7 linked regions of the Danio rerio genome follow. The protein of the gene in region 2 interacts with the protein of the main gene of each other region in a pairwise test. Links are inferred from orthologs where the notes say so. Each region holds a gene or a part of one and is shown on either strand. Other genes may lie near its edges. The genes, in order: txn2, agtrap, rmdn2, pbx3b, syt16, ptpn9a and tbrg4.

Region 1 (4,114 bases), on a different chromosome or scaffold from region 2:
TCATTGTAAATATTTTTCTTTCACTGTATAATATATTTTCACTGGTTTCATTGGATGTATGGGCAATAAATAATTGCAGTGATTATTTGGTTTTCAGTTTATTTCTTTCTCCATCCGCTTGTCACACACATTAAACTAATGTATGTTATGTCATCTACTCCTAATTTAATATTAGCATCTAAAAGGACGTAACAACCGAATATAACACCAACTTTACCTCTATATAGACATATAGGTGAAGTTGGTTTTATATTCGGATATTCAGACTTTCTCCTTAATAATATAATTTCAGAAAAGTCTTCTTGGCAAATTATAAATAGGCAGGGTTCAACGCTAAGGATTTTTCCTACAGGCCCGATTGGACCAGTGGCTCAGATTTTTACTAGTCCTGCCAAAATTTTCACTGGCCCACCAAAAAAAAAGTTAATTGCAATTTCTCAGCCACATATATTAAATAATGTGTCACAAAATATTATCTTTGAATTTAAATATTTGAAAAATGTTAAAATATTTAGCAGTACAATATAGAGTGTGGAAAATGTGCAGGTATTTTATTGCAAAACAAAAGGTGGCTGACTCAAAAGAGGCGGCAAACTAAGCAAAACATAACTTAATTTTGTTCATAGTGTTGTACCCATGCCAATGTTTTCACAACATTAGAAGCACACGCTTTCTTTTATGCCTAGTTCAGACTGCATGATTTAAGCCCCGATTTTGGCTCGCCGACAGGTTTTGAGAAATCGCCGACAAATGCCTGAAATCACAGGCAAATCGCTGCTCGTGCACGTGAGTGTCAATCACACAGTATGAACTATCAAAGACGCGATCTGAGAGAATCGCCGATGAGTCGTCAATGCCTGTGAGATATTTGGCATGCTAAATATCTGGAGCTGTCGGCGATTCAAATCATGCCGTGTGAATTGAGTTTTGACTGAAAATAACATCAGCGATCGCTTACAGCCAATGAGAGAGCAGCTTTCACTTGTGTGTGTGTGTGTGTGTGTGTGTACCTGCTGCAGGCCAGCGGGAGGCTGGGGGAGAAGTTAAAAGCGCTCTTTTTAGGTTTATTTGGACTCACGAAATGGAGGAAAAACTAGTGGAGTTTTGACAGGACTCAGGAGCAACCGTGTCTGTTTGACGTTTCATACAGAAAGAAATTCGTTTATTAGCAACGTTGAGGAGAAATGGCTAATACCCTTTAAACCCAGGTGAGCAAATATGAACATGTTCTACCCCATTAAAGGCTTCTTTCTCATTATGTAGTTAATAACAAAAGATATACTACGTGTTTTTGGCTGTGAGACGTAGTTTGGACGAAGTTGTCGGCGATTCTTCCTATAGTAAAGTCATGCAATGTGAAAGTCCCTGTAGCCGATCCATCTTGCAGTGTAAACAAAGCAGCGACGAAACGCTAGCCCAGATAGTCATGCAGTGTGAAAACATCTGTGACACGACTACTTTGAGAATCATGCAGCCTGAACTCGGCATTAGCCTCATAATTTGATGTTGCGGTTATGTTGCCGTCTATTAAAATTTAGTGACAAGGCAGCACTGTCCTGATCGGGTCACTAACGATTCTGTCCACGGTCCCGAGCATCTCTCACGCTGGCCCCGGGCAGTGCCTATTGTTGAGCCCTAATACAGGGGTTCCCAAACTTTACAGTCCGCGACCCCCAAAATGACAATGCGAGTGACTCGTGACCCCCAATATCCTCTAAGGTGGTGGTTATAAATACAGAAACCTTGTATGCAATGACGTGCACAAACACACCAATAGACCCAAATCTATTCTTTGTTTTTTTTTATGTATGTCAGTGCTGTAAATGGGCTAGAAAGTTTAACCTGGTGTTACAAAATCTGCTGCATCTGACAATATTGCTGTGTCTTTAGTACAATGTAATTACCCGAGAAGTCGCAATCCAATAGAACTAGTAACTATAAGCTACTATAGTAACTATATAGTCTATATAGTAACTATAAACAACTATTTTTTTTCTCTTCAGTAGGTTATTGATAAAATACAGTAAGTCTTAAGCTTTAATAAAAATTAATTGATTTTTGAAAATCACCAGGCGACCCCCCTTCATTGTCCCTCGACCCCTCGGGGGGTTCCGACCCCCACTTTGAGAACCTCTGCCCTAATAGGCAAATCATTTTAGCAGCCAATGAGTACAGCAGTGTTCACAGTGAATTAGATAGTGTTAATGCTGTTTAGAGTCACACTTGCATGCTAATTCTAATCTAATATTCAAAGTAACATTGTAGACATTATAAAGACTGATAAATAAAAAATCAGCGAATATATAAAACCAACTGTACCTCTATTAGACAGACAGACAGAGATAGACAGACAGATAGAGATGTGTTGAGTGTTTGTTATACCTGTTATATATGATGGCTAATCAATACCTATTCATGATTCTTCATTGATCAGTACATTAGCGGATCAACAACAGCATTTCACACGAATATAAGACAGGAGAGCAGCTGATGTTCACTCTTATTGAGTGTGTTGACACACTCAGAGTCTCTATAACCTGTTCACTCGTCTCATATGTGTGTGTTCATCATCTTTTATCTGTGGTTGTGTAAATCCGTGTGGTTTTTAACCTCCACGTGACTTTGAGCTTCTGCTGTTTCACGTGTGTGTTCTGTAAATCCGGCGCGCGCATAAACGCGTGAGCTGCAATGGATTAACGCGGATTATTTGTGTTTTCGTGTTGTTTTGTGTGTTTGCAACAGTTACGACACATTAAATAAACTCTTACCGTGAGCTCGAGAGTCCTCTGGTCTCACGGACCGGTGACGCACTTCCGCTCACGTGGACGAGCAGCTGCTACGACGCAGCGACATGCCGCGGCGCGGAGAGTCTGCGTGAAACGTTGATATTGAACTGTACAATGATAAATTAATAAAAATAAATAAATAAATAAATAAATAAATAAATAAATAAATAAATAAATAAATAAATAAATCAATAACATCTGACTCTAGATAAAATCTTGAAAAACGGTGATGTTTTAAATGCAATAATAATAATAATATAATAATAATAATAATAATAATAATAATAATAATAATATGAAAATAGAAACGGGTATTAAAATTAAATCTGTAACAAATCACAATAAAATAAAAAACAAAAAATACAAAACACAATAGACTCAAAACTTTGACTATAGTGAAGAGTGATTTTAGTTTAAAATTAAAAATAAATGAATTAAAAGAGATAATAATCTACTGCATAACTGTAATATTAAAAATAATAAATAAATAAATAAAATCTGACTGTAGATAAAATCTTGAAAAACGGTGATGTTTTAAATGCAATAATAATAATAATAATAATAATAATAATAATAATAATAATAATAATAATAATAATAATAATAATAAAATAGAAACGGGTATTAAATTAAATCTGTAACAAATCACAATAAAATAAAAGACAAAAAAATACAAAATACAATAGACTCAAAACTTTGACTCTAGTGAAGAGTGATTTTAGTTTAAAATTATAAATAAATTAATTAAAAGAGATATTAATCTACTGCATAAATGTAATATTGGAAATAATAAAATAAATAAATAAATAAATAAATAAATAAAAATAAATAGATAAAGCTTCTGGTGAACTCACTGCAATTATTGGAATAAAGAAAATAAATAACTAAAAACTAATGAAATAAAATAGATTTAATCTAGTGATCACCGACTTTAATTTAATAATTAAAAAAGCAGATTTATTTAAAGTAAAAACATCCAGTGTACTGACAGCAGTGCTGTAAAGAGAATATTTAAATAAAATGACAAAGTAATTTTATTTACCTACTCATTTTATTTACCTACTGCGCCACTGCGTCGCCTCACAGCAAGAAGGTCGCTGGTTCGAGCCTCGGCTGGGTCCCTGCATTCGCGTGGGTTTTCTCCGGGTGCTGCGGCTAAACCCACAGTCCAAAGACATGTGGTACAGGTGAATTGGGTAGGCTAAAATGTCTGAAGTGTGTAAATGTGAATGAGTGTGTTTGGATGTTTCCCAGAGATGGGTTGCAGCTGTAAGGGCATCCGCTGCGTAAAACATATGCTGGATAAGTTGGCGGTTCATTCCACTGTG
Region 2 (3,500 bases):
TCTGTCTTGTCATTTCATGGAGTTCTGTATTTGGTTTAGACATGATTTGTTTGGTTTGAACTCAGTTTGTTTTCTTTGTTTAGTTTATTGAATTTTCAATTGATTTAATTATTTAATTCATTTGTTTTTTAATTTGAAACTTTTTTTTTGACTTTATAAAAAATAATTGTTTTGGCAATCTTCTTTTTGTATGCCCCTTACTATATGTGCTGGCTCGGTCCCTTACAACATGGTAGACTTAAAAAATTAAAATCAGATTATTGGTGTCCATGTAAACGTACTCGTTGTGTGCAAACAATAAATAGTTTGGGGTTAATGGTATGATGACAACAGGTCAATGTTATGCTAGTTCTGTTTAGAGTTTTGAAAATGTAACTACAGATTGGAAAAAGCAACATTAGCAATTAAAAGAAAAAGTGTAAGAGAAATTTGACTGAAACCTACTCTGCAGTGGCTGAAGAAGAAATAATCAAAATGGTAGACTTTCGTTTGCTGAGGAACATGAGGTGTGAACAGGCGAGAACTGGTCCAAAGTTCAATTTAGTGATGAAATCATGTTTCATTTTATTTGGGTCAGTAAATAAATATTTTCAAGAATGTTTGTCATTAAATTGAAGAAAACTGAAACCTACATATATAAAAAAGTTGGTGAAATGTGGATGAGGAAGTGTCACGGTTTGGGAAATTTTCTTCTGCAGCAAGACCAATATATTTAATCATAGCAGTGTGAGATACTATTAAAGTTCTTTGTACGCATCTGTGCTGGTCATTCAAAGCAAGAGCCTGCATACTTCCTGCTGCTTTCAGATATGCTGCAAACTCAAATGTTAGTTGTTATCTTTCTCCATGCTTTCTCTATTGCTGTTCTATAATCTCCATCACTGTGTTTTCCACAAAACTTTTTATATGTGCCTTTTGGCTATTTTCCAAAACACTGGTCTACTATGATATCCACACAGCTAAACTTTTGAACTATGAAGATTGGATGATTTCTCAAAAAACAAAAACTTTATTTTATTTTTTATATAGGCCTATACTATTAAAAAACCACAATCAAACCAACTATGATCAAGGATCATAAAGATCTAACAGTAAAGAGTCAGTGAAAACAGGCCTAATTCCTTTAGACCCAATGCTGTTCTTAAAATTATAGTCAGGCTGTTATTTCTGGGGGCCACTCTGTCAGGCATGTGTCTTGTGACCGGTTCTAAAATTCAATTACCCGCTCCTATTTTTTTAAATACTTATTTTTCTTTCCATATTCAGTGAAGTACTGCTCAGAACTATATAATTGAAATAGGCTCAATAATGTTTTGGACCCTGAGCAAACAATGGTGGTATTTTATCCCTACTGAAATACTTTTCCATGCATCACAAACCACTATGGACCAAAATGAATCAGTCACCAATTATTCTTTCTTCCTCAGGCCTTCGGTTACTCACCAAAATTGACATTGTATTCACCCCCTCGCTCACGGTACATTTGGTAGACAAAGAAGCAGGAGACAGGTTTGAGCAAGAGGCTCAGGATGGCCATGCCTCCACTAAAGCGGAACAGGTCCCGTGTGGATCTCTCGTATAGGAGTTCAGCTGCTGCATAGTAGATCCCAAAATGAACAATATCAGTCAAGATTGTCACTGCCAGTCCGATCAAGAACTTCATGGAAGAGAGCAAAGACCAAACATTAGTATAGCAAATATATTACACACACACATGCACACACACTAAAACATTTAACCTCGACTTGAAGATATATACAGTAACAGTAGTCATCAACTTTTTAACCTTACACTGAATGTTTCCTGGAATTTCTTGCTACAGTATACATGCTATTCCAGCTGTTCTTTTCCTTAGAGCATTGTGCTTAGCTAAAAAGGGCTAAGCACCATGCATTAAAGAAATGCATTGAGGAAATATACTCACGGGCCACTTTATTAGGTACACATTACTAGTACTGGGTTGAACCCCATTTGAATATAATGAATTCATTGTCATGTTCAAGCAACCAGTCTGAGATGATTCACGATTTATGACATGGTGCGTTATCCTGCTGGAAGTAGCCATTAGAAGATAGGTACAAAATGGGTACCCTGTGGTCATAAAGGGATAGACATGATTAGCAATGATACTCAGGTAAGTTGTGGCGTTGACACCACGCTCAATTGGTACTAACGGGCCCAAAGTTTGGCAAGGAAACATCCCCCACACCATTACACCACTACCACCAGCTTAAACCATTGATACAAGGCAGAATGAATTCATGCTTTCATGTTGTTGACACCAAATTCTGACCTTACCAACCGAATGTTACAGCGGAAACTGAGGCTCGTCAGACCAGACAACGTTTTTCCAATCTTCTATTGTTAAATTTTTGTGAGCTTGTGCGAATTGTAGCCTCAGTTTTCTGTTCTTAGCTGACAGAAGTGGCACCTGGTGTGTTCTATTGCTGCTGCAGCCCATCCGCCTCAAGATTCAACGTATTGTGCATTCAGAAATTCTCTTGCATACCTTGTTTGTAACGAGTGGTTATTTGAGTTACTGTTGTCTTTCTATTAGCTCAAACTAACCTGGTAATTCTTCTCTGACCTCTTGCATCAACAAGGGATTTGCACCCACAGAACTGCCACTCACTGGATATGTTCTCTTTTTAAGAGCATTCTCTGTAAACCTTACAAACAGTTGAGCATGAAAATCCCAGTAGATCAGCCGTTTCTGAAATACTCAGACCAGCCCGTCTGGCACCAACAACTATGCCACATTCAAAGTCACTTAAATCATCTTTCTTCCCCATTCTGATGCTCAGTTTGAACTGCAGGAAATCGTCTTGACCATGTCTACATGCCTAAATGCATTGAGTTGCTGCCATGTGATTGGCTGATTAGAAATTTGTGCTAACATGAAGTTGGAAAGGTGTACCTAATAAAGTGGCCGGTGAGTGAATAGTCAAAAGTCTAGTTATGGATTTTTCATCGGTCGTTAATAAAGAACAAATCAATTGCCTAAAAAGCCTTCATGCATGAAAAAACCCACCTACCAATAAAACAGCATCTATGGAGTCTCTCTGTGCTATGGCCCACACTCCCACTGCAAGAACACTGAAGTTCCCCAACACATAAGAAGCTGGGAGCCAGGAAAGTAAGCATGCCCTGTGTAAGCACATATTCAAACTGTTAAAAAAAACATTGTACTAACATAGCACTCTCCTTTAACTCAATTTGGTTTATTTTTTTGTAAAAAAATATTGTGTTTAAAAAGTACACCAATAAATGGCTTCTGTTTAAAACAAACAAACTTATTTATACATTTTCCTGTTGTCAAGATTAAAGTTCCAGAAATGCACAACTATGCAAAATTACCTGACCTCAGACCAATTGAGGTGACATTAAGAATGCAGTTTCTAAAACAAAACCCAAAATTTATAGGAACTGCGGGATGTAGTTTGTTTAATATACTGTATAATGGCTAAAATAAAAACAAAACCGAACTGTTTCTGTGTGCC
Region 3 (4,045 bases), on a different chromosome or scaffold from region 2:
TTGGAAAAATATCTAGTTAAATATTATTTAGTCATCATGGCAAAGATCAAATAAATCAGTTATTAAAAATGAGTTATTAAAACTATTGTGTTTAGATAATCTTCTTACCATTAAACAGAAATTGGGGAAAAAATAAACAAGCGATCTAATAATTCAGGGGGGCTATTCTGACTTCAACTGTATATATATAGTAAATGAGTGTGCAAAGATGTTAAAAGCCAATCAGAGCAGCAGAAACCGCACAGATATCACAGTTCAAGGTTGATCAGATACTTGTGTTTATAGACTAGAGAGAAACACAGCAAAACGCTGAGCTCCACAGCAGTGAAGGCCACCATTCTGCTTCAGTACTGTAAGTTTTACAAACTTTAAACAAAGCTTTAATGGTTAGGCAATATTTTTAATTCTTGCTTTTATGAAAATGCATTAAGGTCTATGCTTAAGATTTTTTTATGCAAATATTTTGTTCTAATTATTTAAATTCATGACAAGTAAAATGATTATAATTCGACAGTTCCTGCATGTGTTTTGGTGTTCATTTGCTAATGTTGTTGTAAAGTGGTGTGTATGTGAACGGTGCAAATGTAGAGCAAAATTTGACTCTGTTAATGAATGATTTTGATGAACTTTGAGTCTGTGCTTCTCCTGTTATTAGCAGGCCATTATTATTGCCCTTTGATCTGCAATTTTCTCTAGTTAACATGTTATGTGTAACATATTCATAACAGCGTAGCAATGTTTCACAATGATGGTCCCTTTAGAAATGTGATTTTGTAGAAAAACAATGCTTGGAATTACTGTATAGACCATTTCAGTGTGTTCATGTCATTGGCCCATGGACATGCCATAACTGAAACAAGAGGCAACTTAATGTTAAACTTAATGTTAAAACAGCTGTCATAACATTATTTAACAATATGTGGCTCTTTTTGGCTTCCCAGAAGCTATAGAAATAAAAAATGTAAAACAGGAAATATGCTGGGACTATTGTTTTTGTTTACATCCATCAAAAGGCTCTAAATGGAGAATCAAAAAAGACAGAAGCATTAACTTACTAACATACCAAGGCATGTAAAACTGAATAAAACAAAAGCTGCTTTTTGAGAGTGAACATTTGAAATACCACTCTTTTAATTTTCGTCTATCTATCAAACGTCGTTCATTGTTATTCCAAGTTATTTTTAAACCTAAGTGTTTACGTAGTGTTTTTTTATTATTTAGTCGGAACCTTCAGTTTTGGGCTTTGGAGCGACACGGACTGTTTTTGCTGACGCACCGCTGCGCTGGGGAGGACGTTTTAAACAGGTAAACTCTGCTGCTTTTCATGATTAAATTGCTGTTTTGTAATGTATGTTTCGTGTTTTTGCTGATGTGGGCCGCTACAATGTTGTTAGAAGGCTATTTTCTCCGTGACGTCTACATAGGCAGAGCGTTATTGTGAATATTAAGACCTTGGCTGCTGATTAACATCTAATACCACTTACGATCCGTGCTGTTTAAAATGCAGATTTATTCATTTTTCTCAATTTTAAAACTCGTTTTTCACGGCGAATAGAGATCCTAATCCACAATAATTATGGCTTTCATCATTACTGCTCATGTTTATTGTTCAAACGCCTGGGGAAATTTTCTTATGTAACTTATTTCTTATTTGTGTAAAATTACGAGTTCTTGTTGATATACAACGCTTTGCACACCGTATACGCTGGAGTTTATGGACGTGTTTCCGTGAAAGGATGAATTAGACTTGAGTTCAGACACTTCAAAGAGGATTAATTAGCTTAGGCTAATTCGCTTTCTGGTCACTGACTGGCAGCTAACTAATAGAGGTAAAGTTGGTTTTATGATCGCACATTCAGTCTATCTCATTAATAATAAAATCTCAGAATAGTATAAATGGGAAATTCTAAATAGCAAAATCATATTAGCAGCCAACAACCATCAAAGTACAACATTGATCACAGTCAGTTAAATAGTGCCAGTGTTGTTTTGAAGTCATACTTACATTTGATTTCAGTCTGAATATTCAAAATACCATGGTAAACAATATATGGAGCTGTCACCGAACAAATGTGCAAATATAAAACCAACTTTACCTCAGTCTAGCAGCTTAAATAAGACAATTCCATGCAATTGTCAACCTTGCCATGAAAAACATTTCACCAAAATTTCTAAATCGTTTCTAATTTTTTGGTTAGCAATTATTTTAAAGTACAAAAATGTCTCTGTCAATGTTTCCAACTATTATATTTGATTTACCAAAAGTGACACAAGTGGCAATTTTACATCCGTAACAACACCTTTTTTCTCATAAATGCAAAAATATATATTAAAACTTTTATCCTTTTGATTATCACTATTTCTTTTGGGTTTTGCAGTTTAATTCACAGAATTTCTACAAAGTATGGTGTGTACTGTAAACTCAAAGACTTTTTTGGTCACATCCATAAAGCATCTTTATTTTCCTCATTTATATAGAAAACATATACATAACATCTATATCCATGTATTGTATACAATACATAAGCTTTAAATAAATAACAATATATTTAAATACATCAACAAAAATAAAACAAAAAAACAAAAATGGTATGTGTGATAGCAATGGAAAGACACAAGGACTAAACTACTGAAATGTATTTAACACTATAAAAGGCTTATTTTGGTGATGGTAGCTTAAAGTCGCCTCTCAAATGGAGAATGAAGACACATGAATTGCTCAGGTGTGAGTTTTTCCACAGACTTTAACAGAGTGTAAAATTCTTTATGGTTCTGTGGGTCTCGTCTATCAAATCTGATCTATATTTAGCATTTTCAATTGTATTCAATCAAGTGATTGGCTGGGCCATTCTACAGCTTGATTTTTTTTTCTCTGAAAGCATTTGAGAGTTTCCTCGGCTGTGTTTTGGATCATTGTCTTCTTCATCCTGCTAATGTGGATGTTGGACTGAAGCAGTGAATATTCATTTACAATGATGAAGGACAGTTGCTGAAGAACTACTGAGATATTTTAGTTGCTCTTTGGGGTTTCACTGCCCTTTTACACCTCCCTGTCTTCATGTGTTCAATGCTTTTTTCCCTGTGTCATTTCATTTTATTACAAAACCTAATATGTAAACTACTTAGATTTGTTTTCTTTTCAAATATGGATTTTTTTGGTTATCAACATTTGGTTACAGCACCTTTGGCAATATGACTTCTGAGAAAAATAGTGACATGTTCAATACTTATGTCCCCCACTTTAAACAAATAATATGTGAAATAAATAAGAATTTGAATGATAAAACAGTATAAAACTCAATTCATTTAACATGAAATGTATTCATATAAAATAAGTATGAATATTACTAAAGGGTACCAACATTTTTTTTTATATATTTATTCCTTTATTTAGGTTGTTTGACTGCTAAATTATAGCCAGAGAAGTTTTTGATCATTTCAAATCCCGGTAACAAGATCTATCACAATATAGTATCATTTCTGTAAATTAAATGAATTAATTGTTTATTGAGACCTGTAAAGGACACTTTCTTTTAGCATTTTTAAAGTTTATACCCAAAAACTCATTCATGTGTGATCATATTTTTCACTTTGTTTAGAACTTCATGGCAAATGTTTAATTAAAAACACAGAAATGTAATAAAATATAAAACTTTTCAAAAACTAAAGATGTCACAAAAAAAAAGCAAATTACTTTTAAGATTACTTTCTCACGATTACAAGATAACTTTCTCTTTCTCACGATGCGGTTATTAATGTTTTTAATCAGCATCCTCGTAGTAGCCTGAAATTATGAAAAAAAATACATAAAAAAATAATATATATATATATATATATATATATATATATATATATATATATATATATATATATATATATATATATATATATATATATATATATATATATATATATATATATATACAGTTGAAGTCAGAATTATTAGCGCCCCTGTTTATTTTTTTCACCAATTTCTGTTTAATGGAGGGAAGATTGTTTCATCACATTTCTAAGCATAATAGTTTAAAAAACTTATTTCTAATAA
Region 4 (4,228 bases), on a different chromosome or scaffold from region 2:
GCTGAATTGATGTTGTATCTGTCATTGGACTTCATCTACAGTGCGCGCTCGACAGACTGTTTCAGAGGTGCTCGAGTGTCAGAAAGAGTGAAATATTTTGTGTTTGATACAGACATGCGTATATCAACTGAAATAAAATAATTCTAATCCAACAAGAAGGAGCAATGCACAAGAAAGTAAACATTATGCAGAATAATGTGCGCCTGTACTTCTGCCAAGATACAATTCTTAATATAAGGTCCTTGAATGGAGTCAGTCAGTTGCCACTCAATGCATTGCTGAATTCAAATGTTGAAATTTAAATATTAAAACTATTTTTACACTTCAAGATCTAGGTCAGTGGTCAGATAGGTCATAGGCCACAGTACAAAAATATTATTAGATGTTAATAATTAAATAACAATATTGTTAAGTGCCAAAGAAGTGGCAACTTCCAGTTATTTACACTTTCCAGGCTCCTTAATAAATAATGAAAAAAATCTAAACATAAATATAACCATGTCTAAAATTTAATATTAGTTTTATTACAAGATAACCAGAATTCTTGTATAACAATGAGGGCATTCCCAGCCAAAATTTGTCATCTAAATATTTTTACAACTTTGGTTGCATCAAACTAATAATAAATAACTTATCGATCCCTCCTGATCATAACAAGTGCGTTTTAGCACACAAAAGAAAAGGAAAAAAATCAACAATGACACAATAAAGCCAAGCATCTTTGCACGTGTCGGTGAACGATGTAACCTTCACAGCGCTGGCGTCTTTCGGAATAAAATGGGGGCAATAATTAACTGCAGGACCGCCGATACTGCCAATAATTATCCAGTAAATTGGTCGCATAATTAGCCAGAGGAGCGCAGGAATTGGACCGCTCTCTCTCCGAACCACGAACACGCGCAAACGCTCTCAGGGCGTGCAGTTAAACAAAACAAGCTTAATATTAAACCAACACCGCACAAAGCATATCCTCAGTGGCAGATGCAGAATATCCCGAAGATGCATAATTGTCGAGCAATTCCCCAAGTGTGGGTCTTGCTTGATTAAATGAATGGTGTGAGAATAGCGCGCTGTAAACAAGGGAACTGCCGGGGTGCCTCTCTCTCATTCATGCCCCAGAAGAAGGCACTCGGTTCAGCCTTGTGATGCAACGCAGAAGGGGGGGAAGGATCATCGTTGTATATTTTGCAATGATAAATCCAATTATGACTATTCATTTTCACAAGTGAGAAGCAGAGAAATGTGGATGCTGGATGTGGCTTGATACAACTGGACTCCGCTGACGACCAAATAAAAAAAAAACACCAATAAAGATGGCGGTGTCTGAAGGATTAGTGACACTGTTCTGTTGCTTTTTTCTTCTTGACATGTCTAATTTAGCTTCATTTGTAAGGGTATGCATTATCTTACCTGTTTTCTCTTTGATCTCGCAGAGCACACTGAAGAGGGCTGGCTTCATTCTGTGACAGTTGAGCCCATGTTTCCTGTGCCATTTGGGAGCAAGAGACGAGATTGATATATAGTCACTTAAAACTCATAATTGTGTCGCATTAAAACTTCATAAGGCATCAAGTCTTCTGTTGGAATGTATCTTTAAACTGCATTGGTTTGTTAGAAATAAACACAGACAAAGTTCACAACAAAGAGTATAATTAATTAGTGCTAAATATGTAAATTAATTTACAAAGAAGTAAAAGATTTATAGTATGTGGCTAGTGGCTGTAAAAGTATCAGGGCCTCTTCGGCTCAGAAACAGAAAAGTGAGATGTAGAAACTTTTAATGAGATGCTCACATGTGTTGAGCACTTCACCTGTGTATCATTTACATTAAAATGCACAACTTTAGCAGCTAATGTTCTGATTTAGGATAGATCTTGTGACACTGAAACGTGATTTCAACCTGTCAAATGGATTTCAGATGCAAACTTGACCTTTTAGGTTTACTATAGTGACCCAGTGGGTGAAAATTAAAAGTTAGCTAGTGTGAAAAAAAAAGTAAATGAAAGCAACATGAGCTATTGTAAAGAATCAAATGAGCAAGCATGGAATACTTTGTTAAGAAAACAATGCAAGCGTTTATATTACAGAAATGCACCAACTTTGCTTGCGCCTCGTCCAGGCTTTGGTCGGTGATGGTCATGATCTGATGCAGAATGTCACCGATGTCTTGTTTTCTTCCATCCCCATCGGTTCCGTCGTGTCCATGTGGAGGCGGCAGAGCCATGCCGCCTTGTACCGAGTGACCAGCCAGGCTGACACCGCCGAGAGTCTGCATGATCCGGGCTTGCTCGTCCATAGTCCGCCGCAACACAATCAATGCGCTCGTGCTCAGTCACTGAGATGGGTGAAATAAACTCGGATAATGCACATGCAAAAACAACTTGATTATTTCATGTGCGGCGTTTAACGGGTCGCTATCGTGCACAAAATATTGACCGTGAAGCAACGCAGAAGAGAAGAAAAATACAATAAATCGCTGGATCGCGGAATTGATGTCCCGGGAAAAGATTTAAATCGTCTTTGATCCTCCTGTAAGAATGTCCATTAGAGGAAAATTAGCGATGATCTTTCTTGTTTGTTATTGAAGTAAACTTCAGCGTTCAGGTGACAGCGGTTGCCCGTTCAATCCTGTCCGAATCTTCATGCCAATTTGTCTTTTTTCTCTTTGAAGAGCCGGGGTCCTTTGCAGATGTCTGGAATTCTTATTTGCTGTCTTCTTAGGATAATTTCGCCTTGTGCACTTCTGGAAAACTTGGACAAATCCGTAGTATTACAAAGAGTTGCAAACAAAACATCCCATGCCTCTGACGGAAAGTGATAATTAATCAAAATTAATGATTGTGTAATTAAAAAGACGCAGGTTGAGTGTGGACAACTGGCAGAATGTTGTCTTTTAAAAAGATTTCTTTTTTTTCCTCCAAAAATAAAAAAACTGCATAAGAAAATAAAAGAACCCGAGTGAAATAAATTAAACCATCAGCACCGGCGACCAGAGCTATAAAGATTGTAGAGAAAAAAATATATACAAAAACGTATAAAAAAGTTTTCTCACTTTCAGTAGGTAAAATAGAAAAACTAGCGAAAAAAATTAATCACGCGCCATAAAGCGATGCGCAAAAATATCTGCTGGCGGAAATTTATGAGTCGAGCGCGCGGGCTGTGTGTGCTTTATGTTGTTTGATGGCAGCGGTAGTGAGCGATTGACAATGTGCCAATGCCATTCACTCAGTGCGGACGTGTCAGAGAAGAAAAAAAGATACAAAATCGACATCAAAATGCACGCTCCGCCCTGCAGAGGAGGGGTCTTAGATTCTTGTCACTTCTCGCCGAAGCCCCCGAAAACAAAATGCCAGTTAGCTACTAATGATACTGCTGGTGATGATAATGATGAGAGCAGAGCATCAAATCAGCAGCGTTTAAGTCTCCGCTTTACGCGTGCCTCATTTAAAAGCGCGCCCGTGCATTTGAGATGCCGTTACATTATAAAACAAACAAAAGGTCAGAGTTTTATATTGTCTGATTCAAACTAATAATGAATTGCACGGGCCCCCTCGCTTCCTTACACCATAGTATGGTCGCCTCCACAAGCCGTGCTTGCAGGGGCAGGAAAGCAGAGGACATGTTTATAATATTGGAAATAGACGCCTCGAACCAATCGCTTAAGAGACGGCGTTTGACGGGCAGCCGGAGTGACCAATGAGCGACTCGCGCTGATCGAGAACGCCCGCCTTCGGAGCTCAATACCTTTGCTACGGTTGTACAGAGAGATCTCAACTTCTGATTGGACGTTGCCAAGGGTGACATTACTGCACAAGCAGGCGGCGCTGCGCAGCGCTCCTCGCCAGTTGCTATGGCAGCAGACTGTTCGGTGAGCTCGAAGCAAAAACACACAGCGAAACATTTGTGCGCTTCTTCCTCCGTCCGCCGCGCTCCTCTCTCTCTCTCACACACACAGGCAGCCGGCTACAGCCACAAAAACACCGTATTCCATCCACACTCCAACCACTGTTGTTCAAGGTATAGCCCAAAACACGCGTCTTTTGTTCAGTACACCAGTCACCAAAAGCATCAGTATGTGTTGTTCTTGGTCCGTCGTAAATAATAGCGCATGTAGAAGAACTGTATTCAAACGAAGTGCCATGGGGGAATTAGAGACTACTTTTAAATGATATTATTCTATCAAATATTTATTTCTTAACTCTTCCGATGATAAAATGTTGGCATTGGG
Region 5 (3,500 bases), on a different chromosome or scaffold from region 2:
AGTCCATTCAAATTGGTTCAAATGGTTCAAATGGTTTAGATATCTGAAGCTGATTAAAAGAAGATTCAGCTAGTGAATGACTTAGGGGCCCGATCAGACCGAACACGCTTTTACATTTAAAAAAAAAGCTCACAAAAGCTCACACTTCTGACTTTTTCTGAGAAATATTTCTCACAATTCTGACTTTTTCTGAGAAATATTTTTCACAATTCTGACTTTTTCTGAGGAATATTTCTTACAATTCTGACATTTTAAGGAATATTTCTCACAATTCTGACTTTTTCGGAGGAATATTTCTTACAATTCTGACTTTTTCTGAGAAATATTTTTCACAATTCTGACTTTTTCTGAGAAATATTTTTCACAATTCTGACTTTTTCTGAGGAATATTTCTTACAATTCTGACTTTTTGAGAAATATTTCTCACAATTCTGACTTTTTCGGAGGAATATTTTTTACAATTCTGACTTTTTGAGGAATATTTCTCACAATTCTGACTTTTTCTGAGGAATATTTCTTACAATTTTGACATTTTGAGGAATATTTCTCACAATTCTGACTTTTTCGGAGGAATATTTCTTACAATTCCAACTTTTTCTGAGAAATATTTCTCATAATTCTGACTTTTTCTGAGGATTATTTCTTACAATTCTGACATTTTAAGGAATATTTCTCACAATTCTGACTTTTTCGGAGGAATATTTCTTACAATTCTGACTTTTTCTGAGAAATATTTGTCACAATTCTGACTTTTTCTGAGAAATATTTCTCACAATTCTGACTTTTTCTGAGGAATATTTCTTACAATTCTGACATTTTGAGGAATATTTCTCACAATTCTGACTTTTTCGGAGGAATATTTTTTACAATTCTGACTTTTTCTGAGAAATATTTCTCACAATTCTGACTTTTTCGGAGGAATATTTTTTACAATTCTGACTTTTTCTGAGGAATATTTCTTACAATTCTGACTTTTTGAGGAATATTTCTCACAATTCTGACTTTTTCGGAGGAATATTTCTTACAATTCCGACTTTTTCTGAGAAATATTTCTCATAATTCTGACTTTTTCTGAGGAATATTTCTCACAATTCTGATTTTTGTAAAGGAATATTTCTCATAATTCTCCTTTCTAAATGTTTGCAAATATAAACTCATGAGGTCCCAAATTTCAAAAAAGTGTAGGAAATTGTGAGCTTGATATTATGAGAAGTAATAATCGTGTCATTGAAACTTGCAACTGAGACACAACATCTTTTTTTTTGCTATCATGGAAGACAATTTTTTTGTACAGTCTAATAATATGATATGAATGGTGATCAATTGTGCACCCTTTTTAATACCGATATATACCAAACCTAACTTCTATTATAACACTGTCCTTGACTACAAATCGCAGCATATTCGGATGTAAAATGTAATAGAAATGTAATAAAAAGTAACAGCTTTCGTGTCATCAGTAGAATGAATGAAAGAAAGAGCACATTTTCCACTAAACATGGCCTTGGTGTGGCTGTGAGTCTTAAAACTTGAGGCTTAACATCATCTGAAGAAAGACATTTCTCCATTCATGAACTCGCTAGGCGACAATTACCGTGGCTGGAGCAGTAATGCATTTTGATTGGCTGCTGCTGAAGTTTTAAAGAGTATGTCACGATATGAGATCATTGATAAGAGGCTGTATTAAGTGCTCTCAGACAGTGTCACGTGGGTGTTTGTATGTGCTTTCACAATTACATGCCTTATCTTTGTTTGATGCTGTAAAAAGTTGCTTGCTCACTCTGGTTTATCTGGGTATTTTTGGCCTTGGCCGTCTTCTCCCTCCCAAAGGAATATCCAGCTGAATGCAGTGAGGTAAGAGTGATTGTATTTCTCTCTAAGCATCCAGCAGCGTGTGCCAGCGGCAGACCTGTTGGTTTCCGCTCTCCTTCATGTCCTGCCAGTGAAGAAGCTCCTCTTCACCGCTGCTGTTCTGGCCCAGAGCCACCCAGCCTATCATCTCCTTACGCTTCATGTTCCGCCGATTGTAAATGGAGACCATTAACGTGACGTCAGACAGTTGGAAAAGCGCCACCTGGAAGACGAACGTCTCCTTGAAGACAGGATTGGGCTGGCTGCGACGGATCGACGTCTTACAGCGGGAAATCTCCTGTCCCATTGAGTTCAACAGAGTGAGCTTACCAAATGTATCTGAAAGAGAGAGTCAGGTCAATTAAGGCGTTTCAGACATTTACATTTATTCATTTAGCAGATGCGTATATCAAAGTCTGCATGAACTGGAAGCTGTGACTTTTTTTTCGTATTGTGATGCAATTCCTAGAGAAGCTGAATATTAAATGAGGCAACAGTGGGCGTGGCTTGTTTTTTTCTACTGCAAGTTGATTGGATGTAGTAAAGTTGGCATTTTATTCAGAAATATTGTGAAAACAGTGTCTACTACAGGTGGTTTATCAAGCCCACTTACTTGTGTGGAGCACACTCATTATTGCACAATGTTTTTCAAGAAATAGTTGGTGTTTATAAGGTGTCTGGGGCATATGGAGAGGAAATTAGTGTCTACTACATGTGGTTTGTCAAGCCCACTCACCTGTGTGGAGCACACTCAGAATTGCACAATGTTTTCCAAGAAGTATTTGCCTTTTTTAAGGTGTCTAGGCAGATGGAGATGGAAAAAAGTGTGTCCTACAGGTGGTTTGTCAACCCCACTCACCCGAGTGAAGCACACTTAGAATTGCACAATGTTTTTCAAGACATATTAGTGTTTAAAAGAAGATGTTTGGCACATATGGAGAGAAAAGGAGTGTCTACTACAGGTGGTTTGTCAAGCCCACTCACCTGTGTGAAGCTCACTCAATGATTTTCCAGGCCATTTGATTTTCTCTAAGACGAACTTACTTTCTTTTAATGTTACATTTGCTTCTTGGTTTGACTCAAGATTTCAAAGTGAACCAAAATGTGTTTATTTTAGTCATACATGAGTGCAGCTGCCATCTTATTGGTCAGAGTGCTCCTGTTAACATTATGTCGTTCTACATCTGCTATGTAAAATTTTGACACCTGAGAATTTTCAGGCACAACGAATATAGATTACAATGTTTTTGTAGTGAGAGAATAATTTGTTTATTTTTAAAAGAATTTTTTTTCAGAAGTGATTCATTAAATTAAATAAACAATACAGTAAAAATATATATATATTTTTTAAAATTTTAAATAATTATGTACTTTTTCTTTCTATTTATCAAAGGACCTTTAATAAATCTGAATCTGAATACTAAAGTAATGGCTGCTGTAAACCCTAGTAATAATAATAAAGTATGTAATTTATATATTTAAAAATAAATTTTGTAATACTATGTGGTTTTCTCTAATGGTGACGCATAGACTGAGAAGAGATTTAAGACTCAGTGATCGATTAAATGCCACGTAACTCCATTCACCCTGCAACTTCATTGAGTGAAGTGACTGACAGACTAAGATTAATACCCGTAAGAAAGAACAAC
Region 6 (3,500 bases), on a different chromosome or scaffold from region 2:
CAAAAGCAGAAACTCCTCTGATTTATTCTGAAACACAACAAGATCACTGGAGCATCTTCAAGACACTTCGTAATAGGAGTGTGCAATACTTATCGTTTTGGAGTGCGTCACTCACTTAGCAAAAGCAAACAAACAAACAAAAACATGTCTTTAGAGCAATGACTGTACGATGAAGCCTATTAGCCTTTTAGACTATAATTCAAGAAAGCAAGAAAAAAAAAGCTTATATATTCACTAAATATGACAAGATGAGTGATATCACACTAACAAGAGTGTCGTTTTCCTGAATATTAGCATGCGATAATTTCAAGAAACAAGGCATTAGCCGGTTTTAAAATTAATCTTTAAAATAAAAAACGAATCTAAAATGCGAATTAAGAGGATATATATCTGGTTTTAGAGTGGCTGACTGTAGTATTGGTAACCTAGCAACCAGCAGTAAACAAGGCAAGCATAATGGATTCACATGGGTGTAAAGTTTAAAACATCAGTTTTTTCGTCAAATGTGTTTACATATCACATTAAACTCTCTGTTGCACAAGTCCAAGACCACCTCAAGCGGAGTCGTTGTTTGGTTGTTGTAAATTAAGGATTTTGTTTTTGAAACTTGCCGTTTCAATCACTCGTTTCTAATCCGTAGGTCCACACAGAATCTACGTGCATAAAAATATGCATATTTCCGCAGATTTTTCAGCCCATCGTTTAGCCTTGTTTATTTATTTAATGGGACTAAAGTTGTTCATTCAGTTTGTCTATGAATTTTAGTAATATTGACAAACATGCAAATGTTTATATTCTTTATTTTCACTACAGTTTGTAAAGTACTATTTTCTGTGTTTTAGTAAACATATTATGAGAATATTATATGTATCAGGGGTTCTCAACTGGCTTGGCCATGGGACCCACATTTTTACATGGTCATCAAGCCGTGACCCAAATTTTTAGGAACTATAATATAAATTTAGGATTTATAATTAATTTGCATTTATTTGTTGACATACACAAGTAGTGACAGATAAATCATAAGAAAATTACCAATACTTACAAATAAACAGTATTTTATTGCTGTCATAACAAAATGTATCAAATTATAGAAATGTTACAGAGTAAAAACGACAAATATTGTAAACAGTGGTTAGGGTAAGGAAAGGTTCAGTTACCATGAACTAAACTGAACTGTTAATTAAACATATTGTTGTCTGGTTTCTAAATGTCGTTTTAGTTTAGAAGGTTTCATGCTCTCTTGTGGGAGCACCTCACTACATATGGCACACTAAGGCTTAAAGTCTTTTTTTGTCAATATATGTAAATCCATACTTTACATTGTGCATATTTATTGCTATAATTAAATGAAATTTCACATGTCAAACGGTAGGGTTGTCGCGCTCGCATTTCAAAATAAAAGTCCGGTATAAGCAAAATAAATTAAAAATTAAACTTTTTTTTTTTTTTTGACCACACACAGTGGGTCGCGACCCACCAGTTGAGAAACACCGATATATATTATATGACAAACTTGCTTCGTTTGCCAAGTGGATCTAATTGGATTTGAATTATAAACCTTAAATAATAAATTTCTGTCTGACCCTGCTCATGCAATGGAAACCAGCTGTTTAGAAAGCATTTTAGACTAAATAAATGTAATAAATTCTAAAAACAGGACATTTGTGCAGTGTTTCGTTCCATATATAAATCTGTTATTATTAAAATCAAGAGAACTGATGATTCAATTATCTGTTCATAAGCCACTTGTTTTGTTTCAAAATGAATCAACCATTTAAAACAATTCTTTTGAATGAACGAGTCAACAAATCAATCCCTCAGACAAGACACGGTCGCCACCTACTGGTGGTTTCAGTGTTTGTTTTTGACCAACGACAGGCCTAAACCAGCACAAAAAAACACACCCAGTAAAATCTCCATTAATCAAATAATGCCCCAGAATTCTTCACATAGAAACTCACCTTGAGCAAATTAAGGATCTTTTTGCTGAGGTCCAGCTCAAAGTTAGTGTAGTTGGATCCAGCCATGTCATAGATGAAGACCAGTCCATTTCTCTGAGTCTCAAAGCTAAAGAAACAACATTTATTTTGACCAGAAATCTAATCACAAAACTCTAAACTTCTTAACAGTCACGTCTGATCAATTTTATGGGACATTTTCGAGGTATTTAACTGAATTGAACTGAAATTTAAATGCTTTACCTTTCCACAGCTCGGTCCAGCAGGTAAAAAAGGGCCTGAAGAACCACATGGTTTCCGGTTTTGCTGGGATGGTGCAGTTTAGCCGTATAGAGGGCGATGGAGGCTCCTGACGGGTCCCGGACACCCTGATATCAGAAAACATCGCAATATGTCAGTAACGAGGAGCCATTCATATTCGTAAAGTCACTCAGCTCTTTGGAATATTAGAATAATGCATATTCTTTACTGAATAAAGCTACATTTACATTCTAAATGCAACATTCTGCAAATTATAAATTAAAATTAAATTTAAAAATTTAAATATTCAATAAAATTCAAAAATATAATTACAAAAACATTATGATAAAATTGTTTATGCATGCATAAACAAATGAATAAAAATAAATGGTCTTTGAATGATCTCACAAATAAATGCAGTAGTTGTATATTTCTTAATCCAACAAATTCTGCAAATCTGAAATAAAATAAATGTAATAATAATTATAATAATGCAAGATATATTTTTATATATAAATAGTAAATACATTAAAATAAATTCTAAAACAATGTGAATATGCATACATAAATGGATATTATATATATATATATATATATATATATATATATATATATATATATATATATATATATATATATATATATATATATATATATATATATATATATATATATATATATATTATGAATAATATATTATAATTAATATTAAATAAAAACTTCACGGATAAGTTTGTTGATCAAGTACGAGTAAGGTGCAGTTCTAGAGGTGTCCACAGAGGGGCAGAAAAAGTCTTCACTGAACATCAATGAGTCACTGAACCATCAGCTCAGAAACATTATATTTACATCTGCCATCCAGGAAGACACTAAATCTGCTTTATTTGCTCTCAGCTGCCCCATTTCCGTATGTGTGAGCACACGCTTTACATCTATTAAATATTTACGCCAATAACGAACAGCAATACTCTGATGACTCATGAGATGTGCGTCTCTCTCTGGGTTATAAATACAGACGGATAGAAGAGGAGACGGGAAGATGAGGAGGATCGATGAACATATTGGATAAAACCACCGCCTTCACTTTAGCTGGCAGAACTCAAATATTTAATTTCATTTATATGAATTTAAATGAAGTAAATTGGCTAGTAAATGCATATCTATCCATCCATCCATCTATCTATCTATCTATCTATCTATCTATCTATCTATCTATCTATCTATCTATCTATCTATCTATCTATCTATCTATCTATCTATCTATCTATCTATCTATCTATCTATCTATCTATCTATCTA
Region 7 (4,255 bases), on a different chromosome or scaffold from region 2:
TACAAAAAAATCCAAAATCCAAAAACACAGCAACCCAAGTATCTCAGCTGCAAAAAGCCACGCAACCAAAAGTCATTTTTAGAAGAGAAGCAGGCATTTTAAAGCTACATGGCTAAAAACACTTTGGAGGACACAAAAAAGTTAGGCTTTCCTACATTATTGAAATATACAGAAGCCAAACCTACAGTATTCGGAGAGAAAGAGAGAATCCAGAATATTTCACTGGGTTCTTGAATTTACATAGTTGTCATTTATTGGCAGGGATTTTGCTAATTGCCAATGAGCATGTAACTAAGAATGACTGAAAATAATTAATTTAAAAAAACTCAAATCTAATGTTTACAAAGTGTTTTGTGAATCCGGAGGTTTTGGAGAAGGCCTGTCTGTATTGGGAATAAACTATTCTGAATTTACTCTTATAATTATGAATTTTTTATGATTTATGTCAGTATCTCTAATTTATCTAAAGCAGTTCTTCTGCTTACCTGAGTGTTTAAAGTGTCCTGCATGCTCTTGCAGCGAGGATCCAGCAAGACTCCTTTGCTTCCTTTCTCCACGACCCGCAGGTTTAGCTGTATCAGACACCTGGCGGCCTCACTGCCCGTTCCACCATGCTGATCCCACAACTGAAGCACTTCGTCTGGGGTGGATGCTTTTTCCACAAGTTTGATCAGTTTTGTACGTTCATATGGAACTGTTCCCTCATCTATCTTGGCCAGTTCATTGCCCTGACAGAGATGCCGAACAGAAGGTCGGATCCAAGACAGAGTCATCAAGCACAGAGGCTCTGTATGGTGGACAGTGGAGGTCTGCAGGCGGGCAGAGGCTGTGGCAGTCCGAGGGCTGCGAGGAAACCATCGTGCCCATCTGCACAGCAGCCTGGTGGTCATTTTCAAAAGGAGACTTTCTGGATTCAACACCAATCAAAGCATTTGCACCCACATCTTCAGCTGAGCTGTGCACCTAAAAATCAATCAGGAAGAATGTATAGTACATTAAAAGAAAGTCTCAGATGAACAAAAACAAGGCCAGCTAAGAGAAAAATAACAGCAGTCATGTTATAATAATGATGCTTATATAACATGTATGTTACTGGTCAAAAGTTTGGAACTCTATCTTAAGATTTTTGTATGTGTTTGAAATAAAACAAACAAATAAAATGATAAAAACAGCAATATTGTGAAAAATACTATTTAAATTTAAAAACATTCATTAAAATCACAATGTCACAGTAGGGCTGGTGATTAATCAAAAAGCTTTATTTGTTACTGTTGTGTTACCTTGCACTATATTGATGATAACTGGAAGCTGCACCAGAGATTCCTTGAGATGGCATATTTTCCATTACATCAAAATTATTATTTACATTCATATATTTGTTTACAGAAGATGCAAGAAATGCACTGTTTAAAATATTATTTACAGTAGAGGGATTTTATTTTTATATTTTAAGATATACTGCTTATTTTCTATGTTTAATATGAAAAACACAGATTTGTTTTGTTTTGTTTTGAAAAGTTCAAGTAATTTATTTTCACTTATTTATAAGAAAAAAACTGTTGGTTTGAGGCAACTTGTTTTAATTTCAGCTGTTCAACATTTAAGTTCAATAAATAATCATAGATGTTAGATAGTGTTTCCTTAATTTATTTTAAAATCAAGTAAGGCACCCTTCATTCAAAAATCTCTCACTTGTAAAATGTGAGCACATTTACTTTACAAAACTTATCAGTGAACTGAACTATGGGGGCAAAAAAAAGTCATATTCTTTCATTAATCGTAATCAAGTTAAAATGTTCAATTAATCAAGATCTTAATTTTAGGCCAAATTGATTGAGGTAAAGTTGGTTTTATATTTGCACATTTGTTCAGTGACAACATGTGACATGCTCTCTACATTGTTTACTTTGAATATTCGTTCAGAAATTAAATTAAATTAAATTAAATTCGCCTTTATTTGTATAGCGCTATTACAATGTAGATTGTGTCCAATCACAAGTAGATATGTGAAAAATGTTGTACTTTGATAGTCATTGGCTCCTAATATGATTTCACTAATTAGAATTTGCTGACATATACTTTTCTGAAATTATATTAGCAAGGAGAAAGTCTGAATGTTTGAATATAAAACCAACTTTACCTCAATGCCAAACCGAATTATATTTTTAATACATTTTAATTCATTCACAGAAAACAGTTACATGAACTGTAAGAATCATTTCTATTACTGTTGTATTTTTTTTATCAAATAAATCGAGACTTGGTGAAATAAAGATTTCTTTCAAAAACATCAGATCTTAATGTTTCCCATCTTCTGACTGGTAACGTTAGTGTTCTTGGCCTTTTGTGTTTGTGTAATATAAACAATTCTATTATTCTGTATATTTCTATAATTGGTAGTAGTATAATAATTAATATTAATAACAGATTTATTTTTAAAACAGATCATTACTAGTATTAAACTTTAACACTTTCTAAATATACTACTTGCAAACATCTTACAAAGATCTGTCAGATATCTGCGTTTTCTAGCAGTCTGTCATGGGAAGAAGTCTATTCTGACCTTGCCGTTTTGGGCAGGCGCTGCAATAAGCTTATGAAACGGTGCTCGTTATCAACATACAATTTGAGAAACAGAGCAACCGCTGAAGCTATCCGATAAATACGTGTCATGGTAAATGCACAGGACTGCACTGTCGCTAAGGATAAAGTAATTACTGCTTGCTTACCTCGTCAAATAAGGTTTTATAAGTGGATCGACGACATTCACATGGAGGAACGATCAGTAGGAGTCGCGGAGGTTTTGCGTCAGGGAGCCGGCAACATGTGATTTACACAACGCGTCGTGATTGGTGGCCATTGGGGGGGAAAAAAAGAGGAAGGAAGAGTTGTTTTATCAACTCAACGAAGGACATAAAGGCAAGCAAAGCAGTGCACACAACATATGTTCACAACATATTGTTAAATATCAATTATACATTTCACACTGGTAGTGTTTTTTTGTGATTTGTTACACTGCATATTAGGTAATTAGGGAATTCATTATTTCATTATTCAAAATGTAAGAAATAAATAAGGATTTGTGATGGTCAAAAACAAGTTATCTGAGAAATTCCTGGAATATCAAGTGAATTAATTAATTCATTGCAAAGATATAGAAAGTCAGAAGTCAGTCGGTAACTGTAGACTGCAGAAGTCAGTCCCATGTATGCTTCAAAGAGTTAAAGGGAAAAAAAAAAAAAAAAAAAAAAAAAAAAAAAAATATATATATATATATATATATATATATATATATATATTTGTAAGAACAGTCAATGTGATGTCACTGCAATTCTTTCAAAAATGGGTCTTGCATGTCACATGAAGTCTTTTAGGTACAAATCAACCTGCCGTTAAACTTTACTTTTACTTGTATCATTATTTAAACACTCTTACCTTTGCACAGTCTTTTAGTTTTAAAGAAAAGATTTGTTATTACTAAAAATTTGCACTTAAATCTAAAGAATATATCTTGAACCTTTTCTTTTTGTTTGGATGTTTTTTTTATAACTAAACAAAAATGCATGGCTTCAATTCCTACTTTTTGACATTTTCTGACTGAAGTTGAGTCCCTGCTCAAATCTTTCCGTATGTGTAACAACAAAAAATGTGTCCGATTTTTGGTATGAAAAACTTTTGTCTAATGACTATGATTTGTCTATGATTTGATTTCTATGATAGCTTTTCTGTAATGCTCTTAATTTAATAAATGTCATACACTTTTATACAATTCTAGTTTACTTACCTTTTTTGCTTTGTTAGTCTTTTTTTTTACTCTGCAGTTAATGTAACTTGCGTTTTCCCTCTCCCATATCTATCTTTTCAAGAGTTCACACTAAGCCAATGATTGATTATAACGCATGTTTGGCATGGGTTGTTTGACAGAGTGTCTGAAGAAAGAGCGAGGAGGGATGCAGTGTGGAGGTGTGAAGAGGGATGTTTGAGGACGTGCAATTTCCGGAAAATTATCACTTGTTTGCAGGCATCAGGGCCGGATTAACCAATGGGCATTATGGGCACAGGCCCAGGGGCCCGTGTGCACTTGGGGCCCCTGCAGGGGGGGAAAATGCTGATTTTGAAGTGTCTATTTAGGCTAAGCGCAAATAGTGCACCTTGTTGGAATAAGCTGGTTAAGCGAATCACGCCCATAACCGTTTGATTAACAGAGACAACATAACTACAGAGCGCAAGAGATAGCAGTGAGAGTGGTGTAGTG

What was found.
Region 1: the proteins of agtrap (region 2) and txn2 interact in binary tests that used the Homo sapiens proteins (3 or more experiments, as listed by UniProt). The two-hybrid records come from large-scale screens. The link is inferred for Danio rerio from reciprocal best matches to the Homo sapiens genes AGTRAP and TXN2.
Region 3: the proteins of agtrap (region 2) and rmdn2 interact in binary tests that used the Homo sapiens proteins (3 or more experiments, as listed by UniProt). The two-hybrid records come from large-scale screens. The link is inferred for Danio rerio from reciprocal best matches to the Homo sapiens genes AGTRAP and RMDN2.
Region 4: the proteins of agtrap (region 2) and pbx3b interact in a two-hybrid assay, tested with the Homo sapiens proteins (4 studies listed by BioGRID). The two-hybrid records come from large-scale screens. The link is inferred for Danio rerio from reciprocal best matches to the Homo sapiens genes AGTRAP and PBX3.
Region 5: the proteins of agtrap (region 2) and syt16 interact in binary tests that used the Homo sapiens proteins (3 or more experiments, as listed by UniProt). The link is inferred for Danio rerio from reciprocal best matches to the Homo sapiens genes AGTRAP and SYT16.
Region 6: the proteins of agtrap (region 2) and ptpn9a interact in binary tests that used the Homo sapiens proteins (3 or more experiments, as listed by UniProt). The two-hybrid records come from large-scale screens. The link is inferred for Danio rerio from reciprocal best matches to the Homo sapiens genes AGTRAP and PTPN9.
Region 7: the proteins of agtrap (region 2) and tbrg4 interact in binary tests that used the Homo sapiens proteins (3 or more experiments, as listed by UniProt). The two-hybrid records come from large-scale screens. The link is inferred for Danio rerio from reciprocal best matches to the Homo sapiens genes AGTRAP and TBRG4.

Annotation. Positions count from the first base shown.
Region 1 is NC_133178.1:3,509,176-3,513,289, forward strand, and holds the start of txn2 (thioredoxin, mitochondrial), read right to left. Parts: upstream 2,801-4,114; 5' UTR 2,769-2,800; intron 1-2,768.
Region 2 is NC_133186.1:18,172,259-18,175,758, reverse strand, and holds part of agtrap (type-1 angiotensin II receptor-associated protein), read right to left. Parts: intron 3,148-3,500; coding exon 3,036-3,147; intron 1,658-3,035; coding exon 1,444-1,657; intron 1-1,443. UniProt on the Homo sapiens protein: Appears to be a negative regulator of type-1 angiotensin II receptor-mediated signaling by regulating receptor internalization as well as mechanism of receptor desensitization such as phosphorylation.
Region 3 is NC_133188.1:45,624,558-45,628,602, reverse strand, and holds the start of rmdn2 (regulator of microtubule dynamics protein 2), read left to right. Parts: upstream 1-1,245; 5' UTR 1,246-1,305; intron 1,306-4,045.
Region 4 is NC_133183.1:36,175,571-36,179,798, forward strand, and holds the start of pbx3b (pre-B-cell leukemia transcription factor 3b), read right to left. Parts: upstream 2,801-4,228; 5' UTR 2,297-2,800; coding exon 2,100-2,296; exon of another isoform or gene 2,096-2,099; intron 1,485-2,095; coding exon 1,411-1,484; intron 1,374-1,410; exon of another isoform or gene 1-1,373. UniProt on the Homo sapiens protein: Transcriptional activator that binds the sequence 5'-ATCAATCAA-3'.
Region 5 is NC_133188.1:41,011,165-41,014,664, forward strand, and holds part of syt16 (synaptotagmin-16), read right to left. Parts: intron 2,191-3,500; coding exon 1,877-2,190; 3' UTR 1-1,876. UniProt on the Homo sapiens protein: May be involved in the trafficking and exocytosis of secretory vesicles in non-neuronal tissues. Is Ca(2+)-independent.
Region 6 is NC_133200.1:7,141,151-7,144,650, forward strand, and holds part of ptpn9a (tyrosine-protein phosphatase non-receptor type 9), read right to left. Parts: intron 2,330-3,500; coding exon 2,205-2,329; intron 2,071-2,204; coding exon 1,965-2,070; intron 1-1,964. UniProt on the Homo sapiens protein: Protein-tyrosine phosphatase that could participate in the transfer of hydrophobic ligands or in functions of the Golgi apparatus.
Region 7 is NC_133191.1:30,798,411-30,802,665, forward strand, and holds the start of tbrg4 (FAST kinase domain-containing protein 4), read right to left. Parts: upstream 2,801-4,255; 5' UTR 2,730-2,800; intron 964-2,729; 5' UTR 891-963; coding exon 486-890; intron 1-485. UniProt on the Homo sapiens protein: Plays a role in processing of mitochondrial RNA precursors and in stabilization of a subset of mature mitochondrial RNA species, such as MT-CO1, MT-CO2, MT-CYB, MT-CO3, MT-ND3, MT-ND5 and MT-ATP8/6. May play a role in cell cycle progression.